Cricetulus griseus: one gene and its partners. The protein of the gene in region 1 purifies or fractionates together with the protein of each later gene. This does not show direct contact. Links are inferred from orthologs where the notes say so. Each region holds a gene or a part of one and is shown on either strand. Other genes may lie near its edges. The genes, in order: Crk, Pxn, Dock5, Shc1, Sos1, Asap1 and Nedd9.

The links.
Region 2: the proteins of Crk (region 1) and Pxn purify together in Homo sapiens (affinity purification with western blotting; 4 studies listed by BioGRID and IntAct, with this or other methods). This does not show direct contact. The link is inferred for Cricetulus griseus from reciprocal best matches to the Homo sapiens genes CRK and PXN.
Region 3: the proteins of Crk (region 1) and Dock5 purify together in Homo sapiens (affinity purification with mass spectrometry; 3 studies listed by BioGRID and IntAct, with this or other methods). This does not show direct contact. The link is inferred for Cricetulus griseus from reciprocal best matches to the Homo sapiens genes CRK and DOCK5.
Region 4: the proteins of Crk (region 1) and Shc1 purify together in Homo sapiens (affinity purification with western blotting; 3 studies listed by BioGRID and IntAct, with this or other methods). This does not show direct contact. The link is inferred for Cricetulus griseus from reciprocal best matches to the Homo sapiens genes CRK and SHC1.
Region 5: the proteins of Crk (region 1) and Sos1 purify together in Homo sapiens (affinity purification with mass spectrometry; 6 studies listed by BioGRID and IntAct, with this or other methods). This does not show direct contact. The link is inferred for Cricetulus griseus from reciprocal best matches to the Homo sapiens genes CRK and SOS1.
Region 6: the proteins of Crk (region 1) and Asap1 purify together in Homo sapiens (affinity purification with mass spectrometry; 3 studies listed by BioGRID and IntAct, with this or other methods). This does not show direct contact. The link is inferred for Cricetulus griseus from reciprocal best matches to the Homo sapiens genes CRK and ASAP1.
Region 7: the proteins of Crk (region 1) and Nedd9 purify together in Homo sapiens (affinity purification with western blotting; 3 studies listed by BioGRID). This does not show direct contact. The link is inferred for Cricetulus griseus from reciprocal best matches to the Homo sapiens genes CRK and NEDD9.

What each region holds. Positions count from the first base shown.
Region 1 is NC_048600.1:89,155,508-89,159,007, reverse strand, and holds part of Crk (adapter molecule crk), read right to left. Parts: intron 1,266-3,500; coding exon 730-1,265; intron 1-729. UniProt on the Homo sapiens protein: Involved in cell branching and adhesion mediated by BCAR1-CRK-RAPGEF1 signaling and activation of RAP1.
Region 2 is NC_048597.1:95,638,555-95,642,576, forward strand, and holds the start of Pxn (paxillin), read left to right. Parts: upstream 1-1,222; 5' UTR 1,223-1,237; coding exon 1,238-1,277; intron 1,278-1,381; coding exon 1,382-1,608; intron 1,609-1,859; coding exon 1,860-1,969; intron 1,970-2,304; coding exon 2,305-2,441; intron 2,442-2,529; coding exon 2,530-2,731; intron 2,732-3,710; coding exon 3,711-3,846; intron 3,847-4,022. UniProt on the Homo sapiens protein: Cytoskeletal protein involved in actin-membrane attachment at sites of cell adhesion to the extracellular matrix (focal adhesion). Recruits other proteins such as TRIM15 to focal adhesion.
Region 3 is NW_023276807.1:222,938,933-222,943,110, forward strand, and holds the start of Dock5 (dedicator of cytokinesis protein 5), read right to left. Parts: upstream 2,801-4,178; 5' UTR 2,654-2,800; coding exon 2,611-2,653; intron 2,604-2,610; exon of another isoform or gene 1-2,603. UniProt on the Homo sapiens protein: Guanine nucleotide exchange factor (GEF) for Rho and Rac. GEF proteins activate small GTPases by exchanging bound GDP for free GTP. Along with DOCK1, mediates CRK/CRKL regulation of epithelial and endothelial cell spreading and migration on type IV collagen.
Region 4 is NW_023276806.1:65,125,204-65,129,290, reverse strand, and holds the start of Shc1 (SHC-transforming protein 1), read left to right. Parts: upstream 1-1,287; 5' UTR 1,288-1,696; coding exon 1,697-2,191; intron 2,192-2,738; coding exon 2,739-2,809; intron 2,810-3,273; coding exon 3,274-3,337; intron 3,338-3,451; coding exon 3,452-3,571; intron 3,572-4,049; coding exon 4,050-4,087. UniProt on the Homo sapiens protein: Signaling adapter that couples activated growth factor receptors to signaling pathways. Participates in a signaling cascade initiated by activated KIT and KITLG/SCF.
Region 5 is NC_048600.1:3,652,780-3,656,279, reverse strand, and holds part of Sos1 (son of sevenless homolog 1), read right to left. Parts: intron 3,354-3,500; coding exon 3,226-3,353; intron 2,476-3,225; coding exon 1,820-2,475; intron 1-1,819.
Region 6 is NC_048603.1:24,041,848-24,045,347, reverse strand, and holds part of Asap1 (arf-GAP with SH3 domain, ANK repeat and PH domain-containing protein 1), read right to left. Parts: intron 3,345-3,500; coding exon 2,845-3,344; intron 837-2,844; coding exon 714-836; intron 1-713. UniProt on the Homo sapiens protein: Possesses phosphatidylinositol 4,5-bisphosphate-dependent GTPase-activating protein activity for ARF1 (ADP ribosylation factor 1) and ARF5 and a lesser activity towards ARF6.
Region 7 is NC_048596.1:261,016,479-261,020,507, reverse strand, and holds the start of Nedd9 (enhancer of filamentation 1), read left to right. Parts: upstream 1-1,229; 5' UTR 1,230-1,348; coding exon 1,349-1,360; intron 1,361-4,029. UniProt on the Homo sapiens protein: Scaffolding protein which plays a central coordinating role for tyrosine-kinase-based signaling related to cell adhesion. As a focal adhesion protein, plays a role in embryonic fibroblast migration.

The DNA of each region.
Region 1 (3,500 bases):
TCTCTCTCTCTCTCTCTCTCTCTCTCTCTCTCTCTCTCTGTGTGTGTGTGTGTGTGTGTGTGTGTGTGTGTGTGTGTGTGTGTGTGACGCTAGGGACAAAACCCAGGGCCTGGCCAAGGCTATCATTCAGCCTTTCCAGGCTAGCCACTAAAATAAAAGGAGTTTTTGGCTGGGTGTGGTGGCACACACCTTCAATCCTACCACTCAGGAAACAGAAGCAGGTAGTTCTCTGTGTGTTTCACACCAGCCAATCTACAAAGTGAATTCCAGCCAGAGCTACATAGACATCCAGTCTCCAAAACAGAAAAAAAAAAAAAAAAGGAAAAATTCCACTCAAGTATATTGCTACATACCACTTACTACATTCTAATCTGTGTGAACCCATCTTGTTTTAGACAATGACAAACAGAAAGCAACAAAGAAGTTAGGATATAGATGAGAAAAGTTACTTCATGTTAATTACTATGAATTCAGGTGGTTATTAGTCAAAATAGTTTTAGTAGATCAATTAGAACATTCAATTACACAGTTTTAAGTTTACTCATTGCAAAACAGGTTTTCTCTAAAAGAGAGAAAACCCACATAAAATGCCAAGATCAGTATTTAATGGTTTGACATCTACAACATCACAAAGCTGGTGCTGCATCAGCATTCCTACAAAGCTGTAAGAGGTCTGAAAGGGAGACCCTGTAGCAGATCTCGTCTTTCTACATTTTGCACATTATGTACCTCCAAAGCCAAGGCTGTCTTGTCGTAGGCATTAGGGACTCGCTTCTGGATAACCCTGGCATAAATGGGCCCATTCTGGAGGTTAGGGAGCGGAGTGTTGACGCTGGGTTGGGCATAGGGCCCAGGCTCCGGCCCACCCAGTGGCTGTGGGTGGGAACCCTCCTGGTTACCTCCAATCAGAGCCGATACTGAGGCGGAGGCAGGTCTATACTTCTCCACGTAAGGGACTGGAATCATCCCCCTCTTTCCTTCGCTGTCCTCTGCATTCCACCACTGCTCTTCAGGCTTATCCCGGATTCTCAGGATGTCTCCTTTCTTAAAGGGAAGATCTTCTTCATCATTCCCATTAAAGTCAAAAAGGGCTCGCACATACTCTGCCTCCTCCTGCCTGAGAATCACTCCACTACCCTGCCTGGATCTGGAAACTGGTTCTATCAATGTTGTAGTGTCCAAATAGTGTATTTTGTAGAATTCCAGTAAAGCAGGCAATGAATCAAATTCTTGATCTCCTATTCGGAGCCGGGAGGGACTCACTCCTGGAAAAGACAGAGCAGAGTGTCATTTGAAGGTATACTATACTGCCGATGAAACAGATTTATGTATTTTTCATACATATGTGGTTAATATTTGGTCAGCAAAGAAAGGATCCTAAAAAAAATGAAAAACCACATGGACCCCAGACTGCTGTCTGGGAGGCCAGCACAGGACTGATCCAGACCCCTGAACATGGATGTCAATTAGGAGGCCTCCGCACTCTAGGGGGCCCCTGGTAGTAGATTAGTATTTTTCCCTAGTGTAAGAAGGGACTTTAAGAGCCCATCCCACGTGAAGGGATACACTCTTGGCCTGGACACATGGGGGAGGGCCTAGGCCCGGCCCAGGATCATGTGGTGGACTTTGGGGAGCCACCCTCAAGGGCCCTACCCTGCCTGGGGAGTGGAGGGTGGATGGGGTGGGGGGCAGGTGGGAGGTTGGAGGGAGAGGGAGAAGGGATTGACATGTGAAGCAAAGCTTGTTTCTAATTTGAACTAATGAAAAAAACCAGAAAAAAAGAAAAACCAAAACCAAACCCTTTTCTTCACAGCCCAAATGGGCTGTATCACACTTTAAAACTGAGTATCCTCTTCCAGAGGACCTGGCAATCTTAGCACCAACATGGTGACTCATAACTTTAACCCCAGTCCCAAGGATCTAATGCCCATTTTCTCGACTCCTTGGGCACTTGGCACCCAAATGATGCATCATCCACGCAGACAAACACCTATACATTTATAAAATAAATAAAATGAGCACCCTCTGGAAAGAAAGATGCCATCACCATGGGGAGGGGAGACCAGGCCACTTGGTTTGCAAAGACAGCATAGCACACACACTTTCTGATCATTCTCTCACAAAGTTCTTCTGCTACTCCATAAATAAAGTAAGCAAATGTACACTACAGCCTCAGTAAGCACAGCAAGCTCTCCTTTTGGGGGGGTTGCGAGGACTTGAGACAGGGTTTCTCTGTGAAACAGCTCTGGCTGTCCTGGAACCCACTCTGTAGACCAGGCTCACAAAGATCAGAGATCCACCTGTCTCTGTCTCTCAAGTGCTGGGATTAAAGGCATGTGGCCTGGCCTCAAGCCCTCCTGTTTTAAGAGGTCCGTGCAACTGCTCCAACAAGAAATGAGAGAAACTTGTAAGCTACTCTAAGCTATACATTACCATCATTACAATGTACAATTCCGAAGATGGCATCATATTCCATGGGACTTGAATTACAGATGGCTTTATGTGATGCCATGTGGGCGTAAAGAACTGAACCCAGGTCCTCTGCAAGAGCAGTAAATGCTCCTATTCAGAGTCATCTCAGGAGGCTCAAAGATTTAAGTAATTATATGCTTGTGTGTCTGTGTGGAGGTATGTGCATGCGCATGCAGGTGACTATAGAGTTCAGGGGAGGGATTTGGATACCCTGCAGCTGTAGTTACAGGTAGTTGTCAACTGCTGGGTGTGAATGCTGGAAACTCAACTAGGGTCCTCTTTAAGAGCAGTATGTGCTCTCAATCTCCAGCCCAAGACTAATATATATATATAGTATTTATGTGTACGTACTATGTGTGTTCACAGGTCAGAAGAGATATTAGATACCCTCGAACTAGAATTAGAGGTGATTGTGAGCCATCATGTAGTGCTGGGAACCAAATCCTAGTACTTTGCTAAGTGCTCTTAACCCCTGAGCCATCTCTCTAGCTACTCTCTGTCTCTCTTTCTCTCCCCCCCATTGGTTAAAATTGATTCTTTGGCCAGACAGTGGTGGCACATGCCTTTATTTAATTCCAGCACTTGGGAGGCAGAGGCAAATGGATCTCTATGAGTGCAATGTCATCCTGGTCTACAGAGTGAGCTCCAGGACAGCTAGATCTACACAGAAAAACCCTGTCTCATAACCCCACCCCCAAATCTATTCTTTGGAGGCAGGAAAATCAGGAGTTCGAAAGTCATTCTAGATGCATGAGCTTAAGGGCAGTCTAATACATGAGATCCTATTTCAAAAACATGAAAACTGGGACTAAGGAGATGGCTTTGTTGGGAGAGTGCATGAAGCCATGAGTTCGATATCCAGTACCACATACACTGGGTGCAGTGGTACATATCCAGAGTCCTAACACTCTGGAAAATATAGGTTGAAAGATCTGATGTTCAATGTCAACCTCAGCTAAATAGGAAGGTAGGGCATAGCATGGGATACAACCCTCCATCAATCTGTACTCAATCAAGGATCTAAGAGA
Region 2 (4,022 bases), on another chromosome or scaffold:
GGCCTTCGAACAACTTCTCGTCCAGCCATACAGCAGGAGCCAGGGGTAGGTGCACCCACCCTAGTGACAGGTAGTCAGGGCTGCTAGGAGAGGGCATGACCTCAAAGGCCCTTGCTTCCCTTTTCTCTGCATGGGAATGGAGCTACAGACAGGGCCGCCAGCAAGGATCAGAGCTCGAGCCCCTGGTGTGTAGGAAGTTGAGTTCCTTAGATTTGGTATCTTGTCTCTTTGAAATCACAGCAGTCCCTCCTGCAGGCTTGGTGTCTGGGACTTAAGGAGTCTGAGGAGTCTTGTGATCCTGCCCTTTCCTGCTTTATCACTCAGGGCAGGTACTGCTAGCCTCCAAGCCTACTTTCCTCAGCTCCAAAGACAACAGTTTGGCCTTTTAGGTCACCAGAAGGGGCACTTGTTTGTGACCACGCGTGTAGATGCCTTTAGTGGTTCCTAGTAGATGGTGATCAGTGCAGTGCAGCCACTGCCCCTCGATTGCCACTCACGAGGGCCCAGGAAGCAGGTCACTAGATGCTGAGAGTGAGCAGGTCAGTGAGCAGTGCAGGAAGGAGGGAGGGTGTGGTGAGCGGGGCTGGACTGTACCCAGGCCGTGGCACTGTGGAAGGTCCCAAGATGGGAGGCTATGGCAGGAAGGTCAGTACCTCCAACTCCTGTCCCTCTAGCTGTCCCTTCCTGTCGAGAACCTGAGCCTCTTGTCGGCTACTGCATGCCAGGGTAATGGCAGCTTGTGTTGGAGATCTGACCCACCCCCCATTAAAAGCGGAGTCATGGGGCCCTGGAGTTTCTAGGGCTGGGCTGCTTGCCAGGCTTTGGCAGAGCAGTCTTACTCCCAGCTTGTTGAGGGGGTGGCTGCTGCCGAGCTGGCTTCATGCCAGCCCCCTACCTCTCTGCATACCTTACCCACAGCCTGGGGCCTCAGGAGGAGCTTAGAGCATGGAATTCCGCTCCTACCTGGAGCACAGGTGCTCCCTAAGGCCACCCCCTGTCTTTAGACTTGGGCTGAGGCTCTTAGAAGTCCAGAGAGGACCTGGCTCTATCTACCCAGCCCCTCCCTGTGCTGTGACATGACGTAGGACTCCTCCCACCCAGCTCTCCCAGTTGCCCTCAGGAATCAGAGTTCTAAGCAGGCATTTCTTGCTTACACCAGGCAGCAGCAGCCTAGCCTTGTCAGGAGGAATGCAGAGCCAGGCATCTAACCCCTGAGGGAGGAGAGGACGGGCAGCCGATGTGGAAACTCCAGGTCTCTTCTCCCATCGAAGCAGCAGGTGTCTGCCAGACAGGATCTCTTCAAGTTCAGGAAGGCAGGACACTGCCCCTGGGAAGTGCCCAATAGGGCCAACTCTCACCAGTGGACGTCTTCTCTTTGCAGACGCCCTGCTGGCAGACTTGGAATCAACCACCTCCCACATCTCCAAACGGCCAGTGTTCTTGTCAGAGGAGCCCCCTTACTCCTACCCAACTGGAAACCATACCTATCAGGAGACTGCAGTGCCACCCCCTGTTCCACCACCCCCATCCAGCGAGGCCCTCAATGGCACGATCCTTGACCCCTTAGACCAGTGGCAGCCTAGTGGTTCCCGATACACTCACCAGCAGGTAAGGTGGGGTCTGCGGAGCCCTTGGGGGCTGAGTGGTAAAAGGAGCTGATCTGCCGAGGAGATGGAAAGCCATTGGGGATGGACTGGGATTCTGGGCTCCTAGTCATACACTGCCCTTCTCACCCACCATGTGAGGGGCCAGTGACCAAGTATTAATCACCTGACTAGCTGTGGAAATTCCCTGGTGAGACAAGCTATGAGCAGGAGCTGCCTGGGGGTGGCCTGAGTAAAGTACTCTTTCTTCTGCAGCCTCCATCCCCGTCACCTGTGTACAGCTCCAGTGCTAAGACTTCCGGTGCCTCTAACCCTCAGGACAGCGCTCTCTGTTCCCGAGCAGGCGAGGAAGAACACGTCTACAGGTACAGAACCAGCACTGTACATCAGCCCGGCTTCTGGGAAACCCTAGGGCCACTGGTGGAACTATAGAAGGCCTGAAGGCCCCTGCCAGGCCCTGTGCTTGTCAGCTGGCTCCCCTCTGCCCTGTCACTGCCTTCTCTGTAGAGACAGCATCTCTGTAGTTGAGAAACTGAAGCAAAATTTCCTTCCTCCTTGCCTTACCACATTCCTTCCCTACCCTCCGCCTTCTTGCTGAAGAGACTTGGTAACATTCCACCCCTCCGGCCTTGAGAATCTGGGGCCTGCCACATCCAGTGCAGGGCAGAAGAGTCTTACTTGTTTCCTCTCCTTCTCAAAGCTTCCCCAACAAACACAAGTCCGCAGAGCCTTCACCTACCATGATGAGCTCCTCCCTGGGCAACAACCTCTCGGAGCTTGACCGTCTGTTACTAGAACTGAACGCTGTGCAGCACAACCCTTCAGGCTTCCCTGCAGGTGTGAGCGGGTCTCTGGACTACTCATGGGCCTTTGGGTTCCTAGAGGACTCAGGGATGAGCAACCATTTTGTTTCCTTATCTCCAAGATGAAGCCAACTCAAGCCCCCCACTACCTGGAGCCTTGAGCCCCCTTTATGGTGTCCCAGAGAGTAACAGTACCCTGGGAGGAAAAACTGGGCCCCTGATGAAAGAGAAGCCAAAGCGAAATGGAGGCCGGGGCCTGGAGGATGTGCGGCCCAGCGTGGAGAGCCTCTTGGATGAACTGGAGAGTTCTGTGCCTAGCCCTGTGTGAGTATCCATTAGGGTCTCCCCAGGCTGGGGAAGCTCTTGAAGTCTCACCCCGACTGTCTTCGGGCTGTGTGGTACCTGTCCATCAGCCCTGAAGTCACCTGCTCCCTACAGTGTCTGCTACTTGCCAGGTCCTGGGGATATGGCATGACCCGGCAAAGCCAGGGTTAGCACAGGTTTGCTGATGTGGCACAGGGTTTAGATCATGGCTGTGCCAGCTACAACAGTCTTACTCTCGCTCTATAAGTTGGAATAAGCCAAAGTAGGGCATGGTGACACATGGTTATAATCCCAGCATTTGGGAGGTCGAGGTTTGGAGATCTCAGGTGCAAGACCAATCTGGGCTATATAAGTGAGTTCCAAGACAGTCTGAACTGCATGAGACCATAGCGCAAAAATACGACATAAACTATAAAATAGGTAAAGCAGACAGTAATAATGGAGATGACCCTACATAGTAAATAGAGTGAGACCAAATAGTATATAATAGTATATAATGTTGGGGGGGGTGGGGGCTGGCTCGTAGCTGTGGCAATCACAGCTATTAGGGAAGCCCCTAATAGCGTCAGGTCTTGTTTATTTTGAGGTAGGGTTTCACTCTATATCCCAGACTCTTCTGAAACTCACTATGTAGTAGCCCTCCTGCCTCAGCTTCCCAAGTGCTGGGTTACAGGGATGAGCCACCATGTGTCAGTGTTTATTGATGTGTAATAATCTCGCATGTGTATAGTGTTGAGAGGCTTTGTAGTGGTGCCCCTGTCTTCCTGTAGGGGTACTGTGAACCACCTACCTTCTCTGGTCACCTCACCTCAGCACTGTTTCTTAGCTAGTCACTCTTTCCCAGGGATGGGGATCCCTAAGGTGCTGCTGGGTTCTGGTGGCCTTCCCTGGAGTTGGAGGTGTCGTTGATCTGGAGCCCCCCCCGTGGAGCCTGGGGCTGACCCTTGGGCTCCTTACTGACTCCATGCCTGCCCCACAGCCCGGCTATCACTGTGAACCAAGGTGAGATGAGCAGCCCACAGCGAGTCACCTCCAGCCAGCAGCAGACACGCATCTCGGCCTCCTCTGCTACCAGGGAGCTGGACGAGCTCATGGCTTCACTGTCGGATTTTAAGGTGCCCTCTGATTCTCTCTGTCTTCCCTGCTCCCATCCATTACCCTTCCTCAGTATGACTAGCAGCTCCTCGGGGCCCTGGAGGAGAGAGGCTAGGTAATATTCAAGACTGAGCTCCTTAGCAGCTTGTGAAGGCAGAGAAACCAGAGATGCCTTTAGCTGGAACATTCCTCCCTC
Region 3 (4,178 bases), on another chromosome or scaffold:
GAATGACACTGTAAGGGGGACTACTGTTTATCTGACAAAACTTTCTGACTGGCAGAAATAAAAAACCATAACCTTCTTTTGCAAGAATTCTTCCCCTCGGGAGACATAAACAAACACATACCCCCTTTTTATAGGGCACTAATGACAAACCAATGTATGATTCCCTCAAAGTCCAACTTGGGGAAACCAATGAGTTCACTGGGCTTACTTACTGAGCATGAGAAGAGTAGGTGACATCAAAGTCTTCTTGGTACCAGAAAATCTCACCCCAGCATGGAAGGCGGACTTCCCCTTTCAGTTACCCTTGCACCCTCCATGTATGTACAATTGGGGCAGAATTAATACAACTAACCATGCTGGGCATGGTGGTATGCCTTTAATCCCAGCTCTTAGAAGGCAGGTTCAAAAACATCAGTTTGAGGCCAGCCTGGTCTACAAAGTGAAGTTCCATGGCAGCCAGGGCTAGACAAAGAAACTCTGCTTCAAACAAACAAACACCTAGTCAGAAGGTATGGGAGAACAGGGCTGGTGGGATCCTACAAGAGAAACCAATGACCCCCACCCTCTCCTCCTACATCAGCAGTCAATAATCTGCAACAAAGTAGGTATGAGCCTTGGTGAAGAGCAGCAGGAGTAGATCTGAAGGAAGCAGTGGGCAGATTTGAACCCCAAGGGAAAGGCTAGAGAGGCATGCAGTGTTGGCAGTGTCCTGTAGTTGGGGGTCAGGGCACGCAGAAGGGAGCAAAGCCCCACAGGATGACTCTCCATGGAACACTGCACCACAGAGATGAGTGGATTGTCTACTGCAGAGTTCACAGAAGGGGAGTGAAGGGAAAGGACTCCATTATGGGAACTCTGAGAACTGGCTCCTTCGGGCCCTTCTGTAGCCAGGATGGCTTCCAAACACAAGAGCACAAGGACTCAACATCCACATCTGCCTGAATCCGCTGTGTCTAGTGAAGTATGTGTCTCAGATTGCACCCTGGAACAACTTTGTTGAGATCTGCCCCAAAGACTTTCAACGACCTCTGATAAATAAGCAAAACCCTGAGCACAGAAATATTGGAGCACAGGGAAATATTGGAAACATTCTTACTCCCATGCCATACAGCAAGCACACTGTCGGAAACATACTTGTTGGAAACAACTTTCATCCTAGGCAAAATTAGAAAAGGCCTTTTAAAATTAGCGGTTACCGCTAAACATGCTTTTACTAATTAATTAGTACTCTATATTGCTCAAATAAATGAATTCCCTCTTTTTTATGCAAGAGAGAACCCAAGGCTTTGGACATGATATATGATTGACGCACCCATCCCTTCATCAATTTTACAGTATTTCACTTACACAACGACCAGCTACTTACAAGCCGGCATCTGGCCAACAGTCCTACCATTAGTTTGAGGGTTAAGTCAAGACCCGATGATCTGGGGCTAAAGAAATCTCACCCAGCCATGTGACCTGCAGCCATGTGGAGGCGCAAAAAATTCTAAAAGAAAAGCCAAATTTAAAATAAAAAGTTTTGGATATTATATATATATATATATATATATATATATACACACACACACACACACACACACACACACACACACACACAAAGGTATATGTGCAGGCTTTCAGACTGCATCAAATTTAAATAATATACTAAAGACGAAAGGGGAAACCTGAGTCACGGTTACGGAGGCACATAGGACTTATGTCTGAAAGAAGTCTAGATGTCACAACAGACTAATTACTTAAGGCAGTGTTTCTGCGGGCCCGGGAGGTGGTGAAAAAGAGGCGTGCTGAAGGGAGTGAAGTAAAGGATTGCATTTCAAACCTGCCAAGTGAATGAATCCCAGAGAAAGTGATACAATTCTCAAACAACACACTTGTTTATTCCTTTAAAGTCTAATTGTCATGTCAATTGTCCGGCCAAAGGTGAGTGCTTCCCACCTGACTTCCTTCAATCAAAAGTGAAAGTGGAAAGTTTTTCCACCTGGGTCCACATAGCCACGGTTTCGGATCCAAACCAAGAGGACAAACAGATCAACAACCACGGGGCTCTGGGGTACCGCGAATGCCACGCGCCAGCGCGGGACCTAGCTCTTTCTTTCCCCTCAGGGAAGCTGTGTCACACCTCTCTATCCACTCTAGTAGGTCGGATGGGTGTCCTCACACATAGCCCCAGGACCCCCTGCCCTCCTTCCCACGTCACACACTCTGTGTCTCTTCCATCATCTCCACTCGCAACTTCGGCTTCTCATTCTGTTTGGGACTGCGGAGGGGACTGCAATCCCAGGGAGGGAAGGAGGGGCACTCTGGGGCTTCAGAGTCGGATCTGGGAAAGGGCAGGCGCAGAGCGCACCATCCCACGTGCGACCCTTGCTGGCCACCTACGGCAAAGGGGACCCGACGCGCTCCCACAGTGAGCGACGCTGGAGTTGGTGTTCGGATAGGGGACCAGAGTCCCCAAGCCTAGAAGCACTTTTAGCAACCCGGGAGGGCTGGACTCCCGGGGCTGCAGCACCAGGGAACCCGGGCGGCGGAGTGTGCGCCAGCTCGGCGGGGCCAAAGCCCGCGGACTCGGTGGCGCTCGGGTCGGGGTGGGGCGGGGCAGACACTCACCAACCCCGTACTTCTGCCTCTTGGTCGGGATCCAGCGGGCCATGGCGACGACCTCGCCCCGCGGCGCTAGCGGCTGTAGCTACTCGTGCTCCGAGCGCTGCTGCGCCGGTCGGACTCTTCCGCCATGTTCCGGCAAAACTTGGGCGACTTTGGCGCGCCGGCCGCGTCTACGCCGAGCCGTCCCGCCTCGCTCGCGCCCGGGGCCCCGCACGCCCGCGCCACCCTCCCGCCCGCGGTCACCTGCTGGGGCCGGCGGCCGCGAAGCCCCGCGCGCCCTCCCCGGCGCCGCCCCGGCTCCTCCCGCTGGCCGCGCCCTCTGCGCCCCGGCCGCCCGCCTCCCCCGCCGACTCCGCCTCGTCCACCCCGAGCCACAGCCTAGAGCTGGCCGCCTGGTCCTCCCAGGGTCGGCTCCGCGGTCCCCAGTGCTCCCGGGCTGCGTTGCGGCGGCGCGCGGAGGAGGAGGAGCTGGTGAGGGTCACGGATCGCCTCCGGACGCTCAGTAAATATTTGCTGAATGAATGAGCGGCGAGCTATCGCCTTCGCCTCCGGGAGCGTCTGCAGAAGCCCCGAGAGCCGGAAGCCCGGCTTCAAGGCCCACAGAGAACTAGTGCAAGGGACACAGGCGCTTCAAAAGTATCCGATCTAGGGGACCTTCCGTTAGGAAACTGTTGACAAAGTTCTAATCTGGAAATCCCAAACTCAGGGACTTAATTCTCGCCAGTTACAGTTTCACACTGAGGGAAGGTGTCCGCTCCAAGGGGTCCCCTTTCCAAATGGCCCCCTGCCCAGAAGGCACCCCTGTGGGGATGATCCGGGAACATCCCTCTCGGTCTTTCTCCAGACTTGGACTAAGGACTCCAGAAGGTGGCAGCTGAACTGCACAGAGAGGAGCGTGGCGCCCTCTGCGGGGAGATGCGCTTACCCCAGAAGAGACCAGAATGAGATAGACTCTACTTACTTAGTAATAAAACTTCAGACTAAACAGCCAGTTAGCTTCGCCATCTGAGAAAATACTTATTGCGAGAAATTGTGTTTTTGTTGGAGTCTATGGAGGCTTTCTTTCCAGTTTGGAACCTGACAAGAATAGAACATGAAATTAAAACACGCAGTAAAAGACAGACATGCTTGATTAGAGATGAGTGAGCTCTGGTGACTTTTTGCAAACTATGCCTGAATAGTTTTTTGTTCTGTTTTGTTGTTGTTCCTGATTTTCCTCTTTAGAAAGGATGTCCCGAATTTGAAGTCTTGGATGAGAGAACAGCATCTTTCTTAAAGTGTTTCGGTTACCTCTCGTTTTAAATGTTAATTTTGTAACTCAAAGTTAAACACGATTACATAATTTGTCATTTATTACCTTTGTATTTTTGTGGTTGTTGTTGTTCTCTGTGTAATAGACCTGGCTATCCTGGAACTCACTTTGGATACCAAGCTGGCCTCGAACTCACAAAGGTCTACCTGCCTCTGCCTCTGAAGTGCTGGGATTAAGGGCGTGCACCACCGCCCAACTTTACCTTTGTAATTTAAAAGTAAATTTTCATTGTGTACTTAATACTAAGTGTTTAAAAAAT
Region 4 (4,087 bases), on another chromosome or scaffold:
ACTCTTGGTCATTCCTTGCCTCTGGATATGAACGCTCCTAGAGAAAGCCATCTCTCAAGATGAAGAATCATTGTGTGTGTTTGGAAGTGTATGGCTGTGGCAGAATTTTTCCTCCTCTAAGAGCTGAGGTCTTACTTAGTAGACGGGATGACAGAGTTTCTTTTCAGGAAGAAGTTCGATATTCAGTAACAGCTCTCCTGGGATGGGGACTAAGGGCAGGTGAAAAATCGGAAGAATGATATTTAACCCGTTTTAAGTTCCGGTATTGTTAATCACAATCATACAGTTTTTAATTCTCCAAACTAAACCTAAAGGTAGTTTGGAGGTGAGCCTGTAAAGAAACTACCTTTTACTTCTTGTATTTGCCTCTCCCCCCCCCCCTTTTTCTTTTTTTAAAGGAAATAAGTGATAGTTTATTCTGGAGTAATGCTGATTGGTCACTTTCTTTAACTTCCTGATGGCCTTTAGCAGAGCTGTGGCAGGAAGCTGTGGGCAAAGGAATATGGGCTTGGTGTTATTATGCACTTATGGCCAGATCCCAACCTCTGGTATCCCTTTCTTCTTCCTGTCTTTATTAACACTGATTTGTTTATGGCCCTATTATCCCTTTGTGGCTTGTAGGCACCAGTTCTGTTTGTTTCATTTTCAGACCTCCAAGGCCAACTCCTCTACTAGTGTGAGGGACACTGTTGGGTGGACCTTACAGCCTGTAAGGAGAGAAATATGTCTGTAGGTCTAAAGGTAGCCTGATTGTCTCTACATCCTCTGGAAAGGGGTCCAGGAAGTCCATTGGTCCTTGGTAGGTAACAAGCCTAAGGGACAGGCTTGCTCTAGCTCTTGCCTAGTAGCTCCCAGACCACCGCCCAAATTGGCCTTATTCCTCCTGTTTCAGCTTTGCTTCCCTCTTGGCCTCGATCTACACCCACTGGGACAACTTTCTCTTCCTGGTTCCTTGCTCTTGTCCACAGCTGTTGTGGCTGAGGATGCTAATGGCCCAGGTTCCCTGGGGCTGCCACCTCACTTACTGTATGGTGGGGGGTGGGGATGGTCTAGGCTGTAAGAGAAATACTAAACTCTAGATCACCCCCCCCCCTTTCCTCCCTCAGCAGCTTCTGTTTCCTCCTTTATCCCTCCTAACCTTCCGGGCTTCCTGCTCTCTTTGGCTAGCCCATGTCAGTTTGGATTAATCCAGAGTTCCTCTTAACTCCTTCCTTTCCTTCTTTCCTCTTTTTCTTATTCTTCCATCTTTCTCTCCTACCTGGCACCTTCATCCTCCCCAGACAGACCCTAGTTGTTTGTATTGGGTAAGGGAGAGTGGCCTGGCTAGCACACATTGTGTGAGGAGGTGTCTCTGCCCCTCTGAGCCTGTGAGTCAGCATTGTCCTTGGGATTGGTCTCTCCCCTTGGTTCCCCGCCCCTGGGGAGGAGCCAGTCAGCTCTGGGTCCAGCCTGTACTCCTCAGCCATAAGAGGCTTCCTCGCAGGGCTGGGCAAGGATGTGGCCTGAAACTGTCTTGGTCTGACGTGGGAGAGCAGAGGCCACTTGTCCTTCGCTTCCCTAGGTCCTCTGTTATCACCAGGCTGCAGAGGTCAGACCAGGCTAAGGGCCTGGGGATGCCCCCTGCCTGGCCCCCTTGCCTGAATTTGGCAGGGGGGCCAGGCCGGGCCAGGCAGCAGCCCCCCTTCTCACCCCAGCCATGGATCTTCTACCCCCCAAGCCGAAGTACAACCCACTTCGAAATGAGTCTCTGTCATCGCTGGAGGAGGGGGCTTCAGGGTCTACCCCCACAGAAGAGCTGCCTTCCCCGTCAGCCTCATCCCTGGGACCCATTCTGCCTCCTCTGCCGGGGGATGATAGTCCGACTACTCTGTGTTCCTTCTTTCCCCGGATGAGCAACCTGAAGCTGGCCAATCCTGCTGGGGGGCGCCTGGGGCCTAAGGGAGAGCCAGGAAAGGCTGCTGAAGATGGGGAAGGGAATGCAGGGGCAGCCCTTCGGGACTCAGGCCTCTTGCCCCTCCTCCAGGACATGAACAAGCTGAGTGGAGGCGGCGGGCGCAGGACTCGGGTAGAAGGGGGCCAGCTGGGGGGCGAGGAGTGGACCAGACACGGGAGCTTTGTCAATAAGCCCACACGAGGCTGGCTGCATCCCAACGACAAAGTCATGGGACCTGGGGTTTCCTACTTGGTTCGGGTGAGTGTACATCCTCCTTTCTGCCCCCTCCCATTCCCCATCCAGTTCCTCTGCTCACTCCAGATTTGCTGGGACTTCCTGCTCTTCCCCCAACATCTGTGGCATTCCCCTAGTTCTTAACCCTGCCTGCCACATCCCTTCTCCAGTTCTATGCCTTCTGTTCTAGCCTGGGAGTCTTCTGCCTAGGTCCCCTTTCCTTTGATCCCTACCCCCAGCTTACACAATGGTCAAGCACATCAGAGGCTTTTAGTAAGTGTTGAATGAAAAATGACTTCTGGGTTCTTCCCTCTAGACTCCTCCCTTTTCCATAGCTGTCACTCCATCCCACCCAGTGCCTACAACTCCTCTCACAATCTCTCCACAGTGCATGAAGGTCCTCTTTGGTGGCCCTTCTTCACTATGGGGTGGTGGCCCCAGGAAGTAGGAAGGCTACTTTACCTTTACTTCCCTTAGGGACTACATAGGGCACAGTCCTAGAACCTTCTGCAAAGGGTGGGGTATTGCGGGGAGGGGGCAGCTGATCCATCCTTGCCTCCTTCCCCCACAGTACATGGGTTGTGTGGAGGTCCTGCAGTCAATGCGAGCCCTTGACTTCAATACCCGGACTCAGGTCACCAGGTTAGTGGAGAGGCAGGTGTATTGTTGGAGTCTTGTATGGAGGAGGAGGAAAGGTGGGCATTTGGTGGTGGTGCTGATGGTGACTTCTCATGGGGTGGCTAAGAGACCTGAAAGTTACACCAGTGTGTCTGACTGCAAAGAGCCAGCTCTGGTCTGGAGCACCACCTTACCCACGCAGCCTGGGAGACTGTGGGACGATGGATTACAAAAGGCTGCTTTTGGGAAGGGAATGGCAAATTTGGTAACTGGGAAGAGGTGGGGCTATAACCATTGAGGCCCTAACCCAATCAGCCAGGAAGCAGCCCCTCAGTGTCATCAAATATTAAAGGCCCTTAATTCAATCCACCACGACAAAGAGCCTGGAGTGCTCTGAGAATCTGGCCTGCTCTTCCCCTCCCCCAGCTTTGTGGCAGCCCCAGGCAGTGGGAGGCCAGGAGTAGGTCTGAGTACCCCTGTTTCTCTAGGGAGGCCATCAGTTTGGTGTGTGAAGCCGTGCCTGGTGCCAAAGGAGCCACAAGGAGGAGAAAGGTATGTGTGGTTGTGGTGGGCAGGGGGAAGGCAACCGCAGGCACAAGGGGAGGAGACAGAAGTGTCTCCTGGTGTTGCCAGTGCTCAGGTTCTGAGACTTGGGGCCTTTCCTAGCCCTGTAGCCGCCCACTCAGCTCTATCCTGGGGAGGAGTAACCTGAAGTTTGCTGGAATGCCAATCACTCTCACTGTGTCTACCAGCAGCCTTAACCTCATGGCAGCCGACTGCAAACAGGTGGGTGGGGCTGCTGAAAGGGACGGGGGTAGTTATGGGATGATGGGGTGGGGGGATCTGGAGGCCAAAAACCTGGAGTCCTCAGGAGCAACTGGAGAGTAGAGAAGGAAGAAATTAGAGGGCTTGGGTATAGTGACAAATTTAATCCCAGTACTCCAGAGGCAGAGGCAGGTGTTTGAGTTCCAACTATACAGTGAGACCCTGCATCCCTGTTACACCCCCCCACTCCCCCCACCCCCGCCAAATAGAACAAAATTAGAAGAGTGTAGGATTAGAAGCCGAGAGAAAGACTGGGCGCCAAGGTCATAGCTGGGGTGAGGACACGCGGGATCTTGACCACTCCCTTCCTTCTCCATCCCCTGCCCACATGAGAGAATGAGAGTGGGTGCCAAGGTCATAGCTGGGGTGAGGGTACACGGGACCCTGAGGCTGCTGACCTTGATTGTTCCCTTCCTTCTCCATCCCCTGCCCGCATCAGATCATTGCCAACCATCACATGCAGTCCATCTCGTTCGC
Region 5 (3,500 bases), about 86 Mb from region 1:
TATAATTTGGTTGTTGTTGATTGTTTCCTTTGCTTTTTACTTTTCTTGAGACAGGGTTTCTCTGTGTAGCCCTGGATGTCCTGGAACTCGCTCTGTAGACCAGGCTGGCCTGGAACTCACTGGGATCCACCTGCCTCTGCCTCCTGAGCACTAGGACTAAAGGGGTGCACCACCACTGCCTGGCTATAATTTTAAACAGTATACAGAAGGTTGATGAAGATCAAGTAAATAGATAGGTCGTAATAATTACTGAAAACTGTAACTCTTAAAACAGCTTTATATATGTAGAAAGAGAGGTAACCTATTTATCTTTTATATAACTACAGAGCAACTTAAATTTTTTTTAATATTTTTTTTAAATTTCTGAGTAACAAACACTGCGTATAGAAGTGTCTAGGAGACAATTTATAGTAAAACTGGAACCCCAGGTGAGGCTTCTCTTAACATTCAGCACCTACCACTGGATAATACACGTTCAGAGAAGCCAAAGCATGGCAAAACTCACCTTTGGTAAATGCTATCCATTTACTATGGAAAAGGCCTCAAAGATTTACCTGTTAAGAGTCCAAATAACTGAAAGCAAAACTAAACTCTAGCTTATCTATCCCAGAGATATGTGGATAATGGCATATATTATTTTATAAAGTGGTTTGAGAACACTCATAAAAATACTACTCAAATTTAATTTCTCACTCTTTGGTAGTTCTCAGCCATATTGAGTTCTGCTTGTATATTGGATAAATTGAATAGAAAAGCCTTGTTAAATGCTATTCAGTTTTCCTTAAGTGAATAAACAAATTAATATTTTAAAAGGCTAATCTTACTAGCACCAGGACACCTTCCAAAGGAAACAGCGGACCCACTTATAGAACTTAAAAAAAAAAAAGGGAAAATATTTTTCTCAGAAGCATACATTTCCTAAAAATAGGAATATATTTAAGTGAGAAATATGGGAATAGAGGTTAATTTTCACATTCAGGTATTTAAAAATACCATATTATGAATTATACTGATTTTAAATCACACATGTCTTTTAAAGAAAATTTACATTTATATTTAAATAGCTTTCACATTCAGTATTTCATTTATGCTTTTTTTACACTAAGGTAGCTATTTGGATGTTAATTTTTGAGATGAGAATCTGTGGTTCTGAGACATGAAGAGACAGAGTGTGAGTTCAGTGCTGTCTACTCCACCACAGTGCTAAGATGTGACAGTGATCAGACGCCCCACTGTGCCAGATCATATAAAACGACTCACATATGCCCCTTACCTCTCAGCCACTCTATGTAATCTTGCCTAGCATCTTTCTAGGTTGTTCAGACTGGTCTGTCTTTAAAACCTGCTAAGATAAAACTGCATAAATAACACTAAGAACAAAATACTAAAATTGGTTTCCAGATTTCCTTAATATATATAGGAATGGAGACTAAGAAAAGGCAATACTGTATATATTTTTTGCAACTAGCACAATTTTGATGATGGGTGAATATTTAAAATTCCACATAGTTTGTAACTCAGTTATAGAATAAGAAAAGCAGTACACAGGGGCAGAAACTTTGATACACTAACATTGATAATTCATCCTGTTCCTACTGCTTTTTACCAGGTAACTTTTTTCTTTCTAACTATGATTCTAGGCTTAAAATGATGGATGCAAATATGGTAGAAGTAGTAAAGACTTCAAAGAAATAGGGTGATGGTTTAGTCAAAGCTTCTCTATCGGAAGTCTTGGCCTTTTGTGAGTTTTCTATTGAGGCATAATAAACCAGTCAGCTTGAGCAGAGAAAGACAATAAAAGCTATTTCATGTTTCTTACCTGCGTACATATGGTATGTAAGCCTCTCGATCAGCTTAATCACAGTCCCTGCTTTGATAATTGGAATCCCAGCCTTGGGCTGCACGTTCTCTTCAAACAGAATATTCTCCTCAGAGTCTGGCTCTGCAAACCTGTACACATCAGCACTAGGCAGCCTCATCTGCTCCTCCTTCTCTTCCTGAAGCATCGTTACATCGAGCATTCGCTCCAGGGTACTCCGGTACTGCAAAGATATCAGTGCTGCCATCCAGTTGTTTTTCTCTTCAGCTGACTTGGCAGAAAATATAACACTATTTCCATCTTTCAGAATTATTTCAAAAGCATGCTTGTATTCACTGGTGTCATCTTTATCATTAATTTGTACCTTTCGCATAAAAAACTTTTCTTTAAGACGATATTCTGCATTGCTAGCACCAGGAAGTCTCGGCTGCCCATGATTTGATTTACAGCAAATCATTAAGCCATCGAAGAGAAATATGTGTCTCTCATGCTTGGCTCCTACACGTGTAAGAGTTCCTTCCATTATGAACTCATTGCAACACTGTCCAATGTCTTTCCCCTCCCAACCATCAATATTCTTCTGAATCTCGTTCATTTTCTTGATTGCTAGTTGTTTCCCCTTCATTTGCTGGCTATAAAATCGACATGCAGACTCACTGGGTAAAGGAAGAGACACTATTAGTACAGAGACAGAATTTACAGTTCATGCAGATAAGGTGGCAGGGCAAACTAGAACTTTAAACATCACTGACATGTGCTTACTAATTCCCTAAATATATGTAATTATACAACTCTAGAAATTAAAATAGCACAGAAATATTTTCAGAGTTATAAAAAGAACAGTGATATTCAACTATATAGATTCACGTACAAAATGATTATTTCTGCCTGAGTACTAAATATTTAGAAAGACAGATCAAAAAGTAGCCCAATACAGTTAAAAAAAAAGTCCTAAGAGATGAAAGTAAATTCTAAGTATTTTTAAAGGAACAAGACCCAACGATAAAAGCAGACAGCACATTATAATTAGGAAAGTGGAAGGTCTGCTTTCTGAATTAATGTCTCAAGTTATATAATCACTAAACTAAAGAACACTTCTAATTTGACTTTGACATAACAATGTCGCTGGTGTAAATCTACCCGGTACATTTTGCTCTGTCTCCTTCAGCTCACCCGCTGCTCCTCAGGAGGTCTTGTCTGGGAGTATGCAGGGAAAATGCACAAATATGAAAGGTTTTTCAAACAATAACAAATTCTCCTGGCTTTGATGTCACTTCCTCTGAAAGACCAAGCTTGTCACTAACATCTTTTTCTTCATTGTTTACTTAAGGAGGGAGCTAAGGCCCCTGAATTTATACCACAGCTTCAGGGTAGAAACAAAGAGACTTTAGAATAAGAACAGTCACCTCAGTCTTCGCTTCGCAAGACTTTTGGAGCATATTTTTTCCATGCCACTTTGGACATTAAGCAGAGCTGTTATTGCTTGTTTCACACATTCCTTGTCTTCTTGATCTTCGCTCTTTTCTTCTAACTGCTGTTTAGTCAAAAGGGCAAAACAATAACCTCACTTTATTTAAGGATAAAATTAACATTCACTCAACCTTTTCAACTTCAGTAATTTTAAGGACTCTATAAATGCAACTTTTTTGATTTTGTGTGTATGAGTGTTTTGCCTGCATAT
Region 6 (3,500 bases), on another chromosome or scaffold:
CTACCTCTCTCAGCAACCTTCACAGAGTGCGCTCTCAGAAGGTTCCATGGGTTACACACCAGCATTAGAATTTTAACCTCTTTACTGGGATGCGTGTTTGGTTGGGGGCTCATAGAATTTCCCTGGGCACGATACTGAAACATCATAAAAAATGTTCCTTTATTCCCAGGAGTCTCAGTTGGAGTCACTGGTTACTTAGCAGTGACTGTATCACCTCACTGCAACATTAACAGACAAGAGTGACATCTGGACACTCTCCCCAAGTAGGACTCTGTCTCCCCCCCCACCCACGCCCTGCCCTCCAGAGGAAGCAGGTTTACAGATGGGATGAGCTTGATTCAAGTCTACTGGGCTGGAAAGTGACACCAATGGGGGACTTCCGACTCTGTCATTGTCCTAAGGTGGTGTTCCAGCAAGTGCACACTGAGAGCAGGCAGGGCTCTGGCTATGAAGACACCAGGAAGCATCTCTAAGCACCCCCCCCCCCGCCGCCCCACTGGTCCTGACCAAGAAAAGCAGCCAGGGTGGCTTGGCCCATTTTCAAAGTGACTTTGTCTTGTTACAGCACCCACTTAGCGACAGAAGGGGGAACGTACGTGAATGGCCATGAGGTGAATTACGTTACCTAATAGGACCCTCACACCCGCCCGTGGAGCGGAGAGAGCAGAGGGATCAATGGTCAAACGGACAGACGGACAGACTTGGGTACGTACCCACCACTCCTGGTCCTCTTCCCCCGTCACGATGATCACCTCTCCTTCGACGAACGTGAGCTCATCGTCATTGTCCGCCTGGCAGTCATAAATGGTCTTCACACGCCTCACTTTATTCTTCCCCTAGAATAAAGCAAGCAGGTTCCGTTAGAGAAAACACGAAGAAGGGAGAAACAGAACAACACCTCACAGGGTGGGCCAACCCCGGCAGGTGTTTTCTCTCTTTGCCTGGACTTCCCCACGTGTGTGTGTGTGTGTGTGTGTGTGTGTGTGTGTGTGTGTGTGTGTGTGTAGAAGACAGTCTCAGGAATGGCAGCCCCTCCTCTGGCTAGCATCAACTTTCGGCAGAGAGCATCCAGAGCGGGTAGCGACCACAGCTCAGCTTTCCCAAGATGCATGAAAGGACCTGTCCTTCCTTGCTGTCCCCACAGCATCAGCTTGCACAGAAATGACGGCAGAAGCTATGGAAATGAGCAGGATGTGCCTTTTTTTCTGCACGGTGAATGGACAGCACAGATGGGTTTCCTGGGGCCTCCTGCAAAACAGGCCAGGGCTCGCCAGGGAAACCCAGGGAACAGACAGGGTCTAAACAGTTGTGATCCCCACCAGGACTTCTACTGGCTGGACTTCAGTTCTCTGAAGACAGGGGGTGTAAACAGAGGCATTACCTTCTACAGAATATTTTGAGCACCCAGTTAATTAGATTATTAGCAATAGAAATGGCAAGTTACCTCTTTTTTTTAGTTCAAGCACAGCATTTGTGTGTGTGTGTGCGTGTATGCGTGTGTGTAGGTGTTGGATTCCCTCAAACTGGAGTTACAGGCAGTTATGAGCTGCCATGTGGGTGCTGGGAACTGAACCCGTGTCCTCTGGCAGAACAGCCAGTGCTCCCAACCGCCAAGTAGTGGCTTCAGCCCGGCAAGTTATCGCTTTAAGTGCTCTGGGCCAAGTGTCTGTTTCCCCGGCCCTGGCTTCTTTCTGGCTGTCCTGATGCTCTTGGGGGGAGGGGCTGGGATAGTGTGAGTGCTGGTGAGGCTGGAAGGCTGACCAGAACCATAGCAGCCGATTGTCCTCTCAACAGTGCCGAGAGACTGAGAAGGCCTGTAATGTGTTAGTTTGTGACGGCGGCGAGGACTGAACGGGACGCTGTCTCTAAGGCAGCATGAACTGGAGTTCTGCTCATTATCAGACACCAGAGGATCGTCAGCAGCGCCAGGGAAGGCTGCAAGAATGGCAAGCTGACGATGGTGAGCTCAAGTGTGTGTGGGGGAATGGGGGAGGGAGGGGGGACGGGGGACGGGGGACCGGTCATTTTCACGTTCCCCGTGATGGGCAGCACTGGTATAATAAAATGACCCAGCGGAGATGCTGCGTGAACTGGAAAGAGCTTTGGTCCTCCACCATTATCTGTGGAGCTTGTGTCCTGTGGGACACCTTTTTGGAGTGTCACACTTACACAAAGACTGTGGGGGCCTTGGGAAAACAAAAAAACCCAACATTTTTATATAAAAATAAAGTTGATAATTTATAGAGTGGGACACAGTGCATGAAAAGTTTGGAGTGACTGGACCACTGCCAAACCCCATCTGTGGGGGGTTGGGGGAGGGGCTTTCTCTCTGGTTCTGGTGGGAAGATATAGCGGGGAAGGGACAGAGACTGATCCTAGGGGTGGGTGGAGTTCAACCCTCATGGCTTCTGAGTCAGAGACACCATGGCTGAGTGCTCGTTATGTGGTCACTATGTTCTGCTCGCTGGCCACTGCTGCCCCTGACACCATACAAGCCCCTCTTGTACCCGAGGAACCAGGTTCAGAGAATGACTGCTAGCCAGGCAGCTGCGTTGGGCATTGAAGCCGGGTCCTACGGCATGCCGGCAGGGATCCAAAGGCAGTGTTTGCAGCCACCGGGCTCCAAACCACCACAGACGCTTCGATGGGGGGGAGAGAGCATATGGGACACTGTTCTTACTGAGGTGGAGCATACATCCTCCCGCCACCTTCTGGAACTGCCAGAGTCTGAGGATGAGGCTTAGTGGCAGAGTGGAGAGCAGACACGCATCTCTAGGTCCTGTTCCCAGCACCATGAAAGGAAAAGTGCGATGGCCTTGCCAAAAGAGCCCGATTCCCACCCACCGTGTTGATTTTCCTCGGCAGTGGTACGGGCGTCTCCGGCAGCGTGGGAGTGAGGTCATTGGAGTCCTCAGATGCTTGCTTCTGGATGGCATCTCTGGCCTGCACATTGAGGGAGAGATCCCCAGCGTGTGACTTCTGTGTGACCTCTGAGGGTGGCTGCACCTTGGATGAGACTTCACTGGCCTGGGACTTTGCCAGCAGGTCTCCCAGCTGTGGCTTGGGGGGCAGGTCCTTCACCTGTGGTTTGGGAGGTAAGTCTGAAAGCTGGGGCTTAGGAGGAAGGTCACCTAGCTGGGGCTTGGGGGGCAGTTCTCCAGGCTTAGGCGGCAAGTCTCCTATTTGGGGCTTAGGGGCCAGTTCCGTGGGCTTTGGGGGCAGGTCTCCGGGCGGCGGCTTTTGGGGTAACTCTGCCAACTGTGATGATCTCTGAAAAACTTCAGGTGGGTTGTTGGCTTTGTCGAGGGAGAGATGATGGCTGGTTTCTGTCTTCCTTAGTGCCACTGTGGGAAAGGATAAGAGGCGGTCACGGCGAAGACGAAATAAAGGTGGAAGGCATCACAGTCATGGGAAAAAGGCCAAACACCAGCAAGAGCACCGACCTGGCCGGGCAGTAGTGGCACATGCCTTTAATCACAGCACTTGGGAGGCAGAGGCTG
Region 7 (4,029 bases), on another chromosome or scaffold:
AATCTTTTTTTTTTTTTCAAAAGTTTTAATCCGATGGGAATTTAGAGAGAGAGGCAGGAGGCACAATTGATTCTGGTCCAGCTTAGTCAGGAAAAAAGTAAGCTGCTTTTTCCACCCGAGTCGAACAGTCTGGCTGGAATGCATCCCAACTAGGGGATAGTCATTGAATGCTCCAAGTCCTGAGGCCCAAGGAAAAGGAACTTCTGTCTTCTCCTTCGAGATTCTCTTTCTCTATAGAAATCTCCAAAAGGAACTGCTACACAAATCATGGTCTGTGCTTTACCAGAGAGAAGCTGTTCTTTTTTAACCAGGCTTATCAAACAGTGGGGTTCTTCTCCCGGGGTAATAAGTGTGAGTGGGTTAATGGGTCATTTTGGGGAGAGAGGTCAGAAGGAAAAAGCCTCAGTGTTCAAAGCCAGCAAAGAACATAGTGCTGGGTGGACAGGAATGATATATAGGGACTGTTCTACAGGACCTCCATGCGTTCCCATCTAGCCTTTATCCTCATCAAAGACCGCCAAGGTCTCTTAATGTGTCTGATACTCCTCTCTGAGGTCCTAGTGAGATGTTCTAGGCAAACCTGGTGCTTGTGAGTTCCTTTTCACTGAGGGAGAAATGCATTCCAGCTCCTAGCAGGCTGACTTTGCAAAGTGCTTTGAACACTGAAAGGGGGTGAAAAAGAAAGCAAACAGCCACAGAAAGGGGAAGGGAAAGAGAAAGGAACACAGAGAGAGAGAGTATCAGCAGGGGTGGTTAGTAAAAAAAAAGGGGGGGGTCTGGAGACAGAAAACCTTTTGTTTCCCCAGCTCGTTTCATGTAGAGATTGAGAGGTGAATGGCTTTGAAATGGGTTTATGAACTAGTTGCTGGGTCACAGGAAGAGAGATCGTCAGACGACTTTGTGAATTCGGATTCTTCAAAAAATTTGGGTTAATTTCAAAAGGAATGTATGTCCTTTGTCTGGTTCCTATTTCTTTCCTCTTTAAATTTTTTTATTCCTTTGGCGGGGTGGTTTGGGCGGCCTCCCCACTCTCTGTTTTCTCCTCCGCCTTTTGATAACGTGAAAAGAAATGATCATATTACACGCTCTTTGTCGGGAGTGTTTCAGAAGTTAGAGGTGGGCGGAGTGGAGGCATTACCTTCCCCCCACCAGCCAATGGCGGCGAGGTATGCAAATGAGGGCCGTGATCTGCGGGTCTCAGCCTAAGCGCTGAGCTCAGAGGCTCCGCAGTGCGCGGGAGGCGAAGGTTCTGCTCTCCGTCCTGCGGTGTGCTCAATGGAGCGGCAGACACTGCAGGGCTACACTGTGTGACTAGGATAGGACCAGGGCTCGTCCGATCACTGCCGCGATGAAGTATAAGGTAAGAGTGCCTTTTGCACGAGTCTCCTGAGAAGCTGGGGGCAGCTGTGCCTGCGGGATTCCCACCGTGACAACTGTGCAGGGATCCCTGGTGTGTCTGGTCTCGCTGAGCTGCGTCTGATCTGGTTTCCAGGGTGCCCTGGGGTTTACCCGCAAGCCGACTTGTGCTTTCAGATCTGCTAGCTTGCAACACGTAGCTCTGAAGGTTGCCCCGGAGTAGCGGAAGGCAGTGGAGAAAAGTTAGTGTAGGGGCGGCCGCAGCCACTGGAGGTTAGAGTCGCAGCAGGCAAGTCGCAGGTCACTGCCTGACCAGAGCCGACCTGGGGAGCCTTAATAAGAGGAATCAGAACTACTGAGTCTCTAACGGGCTGAAAAAGCACTTTTTCCGAGTTTGCCTTAAATACTCGATCTGCGAAGCTATCTGCTCTAGGCACTTTCGGTAGAAGCAAACTAAGAACCCAGACACTATCATAGGGCGGATGATGGAGAATTCCAGCATCCTTAAATAGTTCGGTTTTATGAATAAACGAGTGTTAGTCATTTCTGGGTAACACTTTATTGGGGTTTGAACGGGTCTGAAAGTATGAAGGCTCCGGCTGGCTTATTTTCCCTGACGCTTACAGAATGTCGTGCTCATATTTTGGCAGCATTATTTTCCATTGCATTTTGCACCACGGTTTCTGGGGTTACTCTTGGCAAAATGATTATGACTTGCTCAGCACATCCCGTCTGAGGAGGCAGTTTCCAAGGGACTTGGCCCAGTAGCAGATTGCATTGACTGAGCCATGCCACCCCACCCACCCCCTACCCCCCCCCCCCCCGCCCGTTGAATAGACAAGAGTCCTCGACTTTCAAAGGACAGTGCTATTACAAAAAAAAAAAATCATTTTGGTCAAGCGGCTTAACAGGTTCTGATAACTGATTTAGTAGGGGCTAACTTTGCTTCCCTCTGAGGTATGTAGCCTCTGGCCCTTCCTTTTGGATAGGTGGATGTAAACACTTGCTGTACCTAACAGCCACAGGCTAAAATCCATCTTTTGTTCGGTGTCTGTAAATCTTGTTTAGAAGCCCTGAACCAGAATACCCAGTCTTTGTGGCAAAGCATGGGAGATAGCTCTTGGGAAAGTTCCAGCAGTGTGAAGACCCAGGTATCCATTATCACCCCACTATCAGCTTTCGTTCTGAGCATCGGTGGGGAGGAGCAGAAGAAAGGATGGCTCCAGTATTCAGAGGGAGATGCAGCTTCCTACCTGGCAGGAACAGAGTCTTTTGGAAGTGTTTCTCCCCCGTCGCTAAGTCTCCTTGTTCACAGAATGGAACAAGTACTACATGGTACTTACCCTGGGATGGTTTTTTTTTTTTTTTTTTTTTTTCTCCCCGTTGTTGAATCAGGACTGTATTGTACAGGAAAGGGAAAGGGTTTCCTCCGTCTGTTACTGGGACATTAATGACTGATGTGAGCTTGGAGTGCCACAGTCTAGAGAGTGACGTAAAGTCTCTTTGATTTAGTGACCTCATCACGTTTAGCTTTGCTCTTTGTGGAAAGAAATGTCATGGGGACTGGTGATGTACACTGCAGGTGAGAAGCTGCCACTGGGGAAAGCCTTCCAAGTGGAAAGGTCTACCCAGAGACGAATGCATTGCCAAGCAACAGAAATGTGTGGCGGTTGTGTTTTTACTATTATTACTATTATCATAGGAAACCTCACCAGCAAAAATGCTGAGCTCCCCAAGAAAACAAATGATACAAAGGCACCCTGTGTTGACCATAACAGAAGTGAGCCACTTTCTTTCTGTCACAAAGTCTATTAGTTAATGTAAGATAACTTTCTTCCTGGAGGGAATTAGTCATGTTCCGTAGAAGATGCTGAAGTAGAGGCATGATGAGTAGCGAGTTACAAGACTGTCATATTGAACTCTCCCATCCCTCGAAGGCACACTCATTCTCAGATGTAGTAATTGGGACCCACAGAGGCCAAGTGATTTTCCCAGTACCACCACCTGATGAGCACGGGATTTAATACTCATGATTTAGCCACTACCAAGAGAAAAAACTAAAACAGAAATCATCTGTAACTCCTTAAGAGTTCTGGTCCCAGGAAAGTTCAGAACTATTTCATCCCAAATGTTCCCTCAAGACAGTCTTCTTTTGCCCCCCTCTCCATGGTAACTCTACAAAATGAAATACAAAGTTGGCATTTATTTGTTTAATTTGAGCTACTTAAGTAGTAAAACCAGATAATTATTAGATTGTAAAACCCAGGAGTCTGGAATTACGTCTTAAACACTATGTTGCACCATAAACTATAAATTTAGCATGGTCTTAAAAATGGATCATTGTCAGATTTATGTCAGGCTCAAAAGGTTTCTTTTTTCTCTCAGAAGGTTTCTGTTTTTCTTTTTTTTCCCTCCCCCCCCACCCACTGTTGTTAACTGGATGATCTTGTTTAGCTACTTCAGAGTTCATAACTAGGGAGCAGCCAACTTCTCTTCATTTTGTCCTTAAAATACACAGCTCCAGGCGGCTAGCAATTATTTACAATTATGAGGGCTATGGAATGCAAGCTATTGCTCTAGGTAAATCTTTCTACTTAGTACACAGCTAGTGTGTTTTCATTTTACTTATATTTTTATTTGTTCATGGGAAGACTGTCAGGGGTATTTAATGTT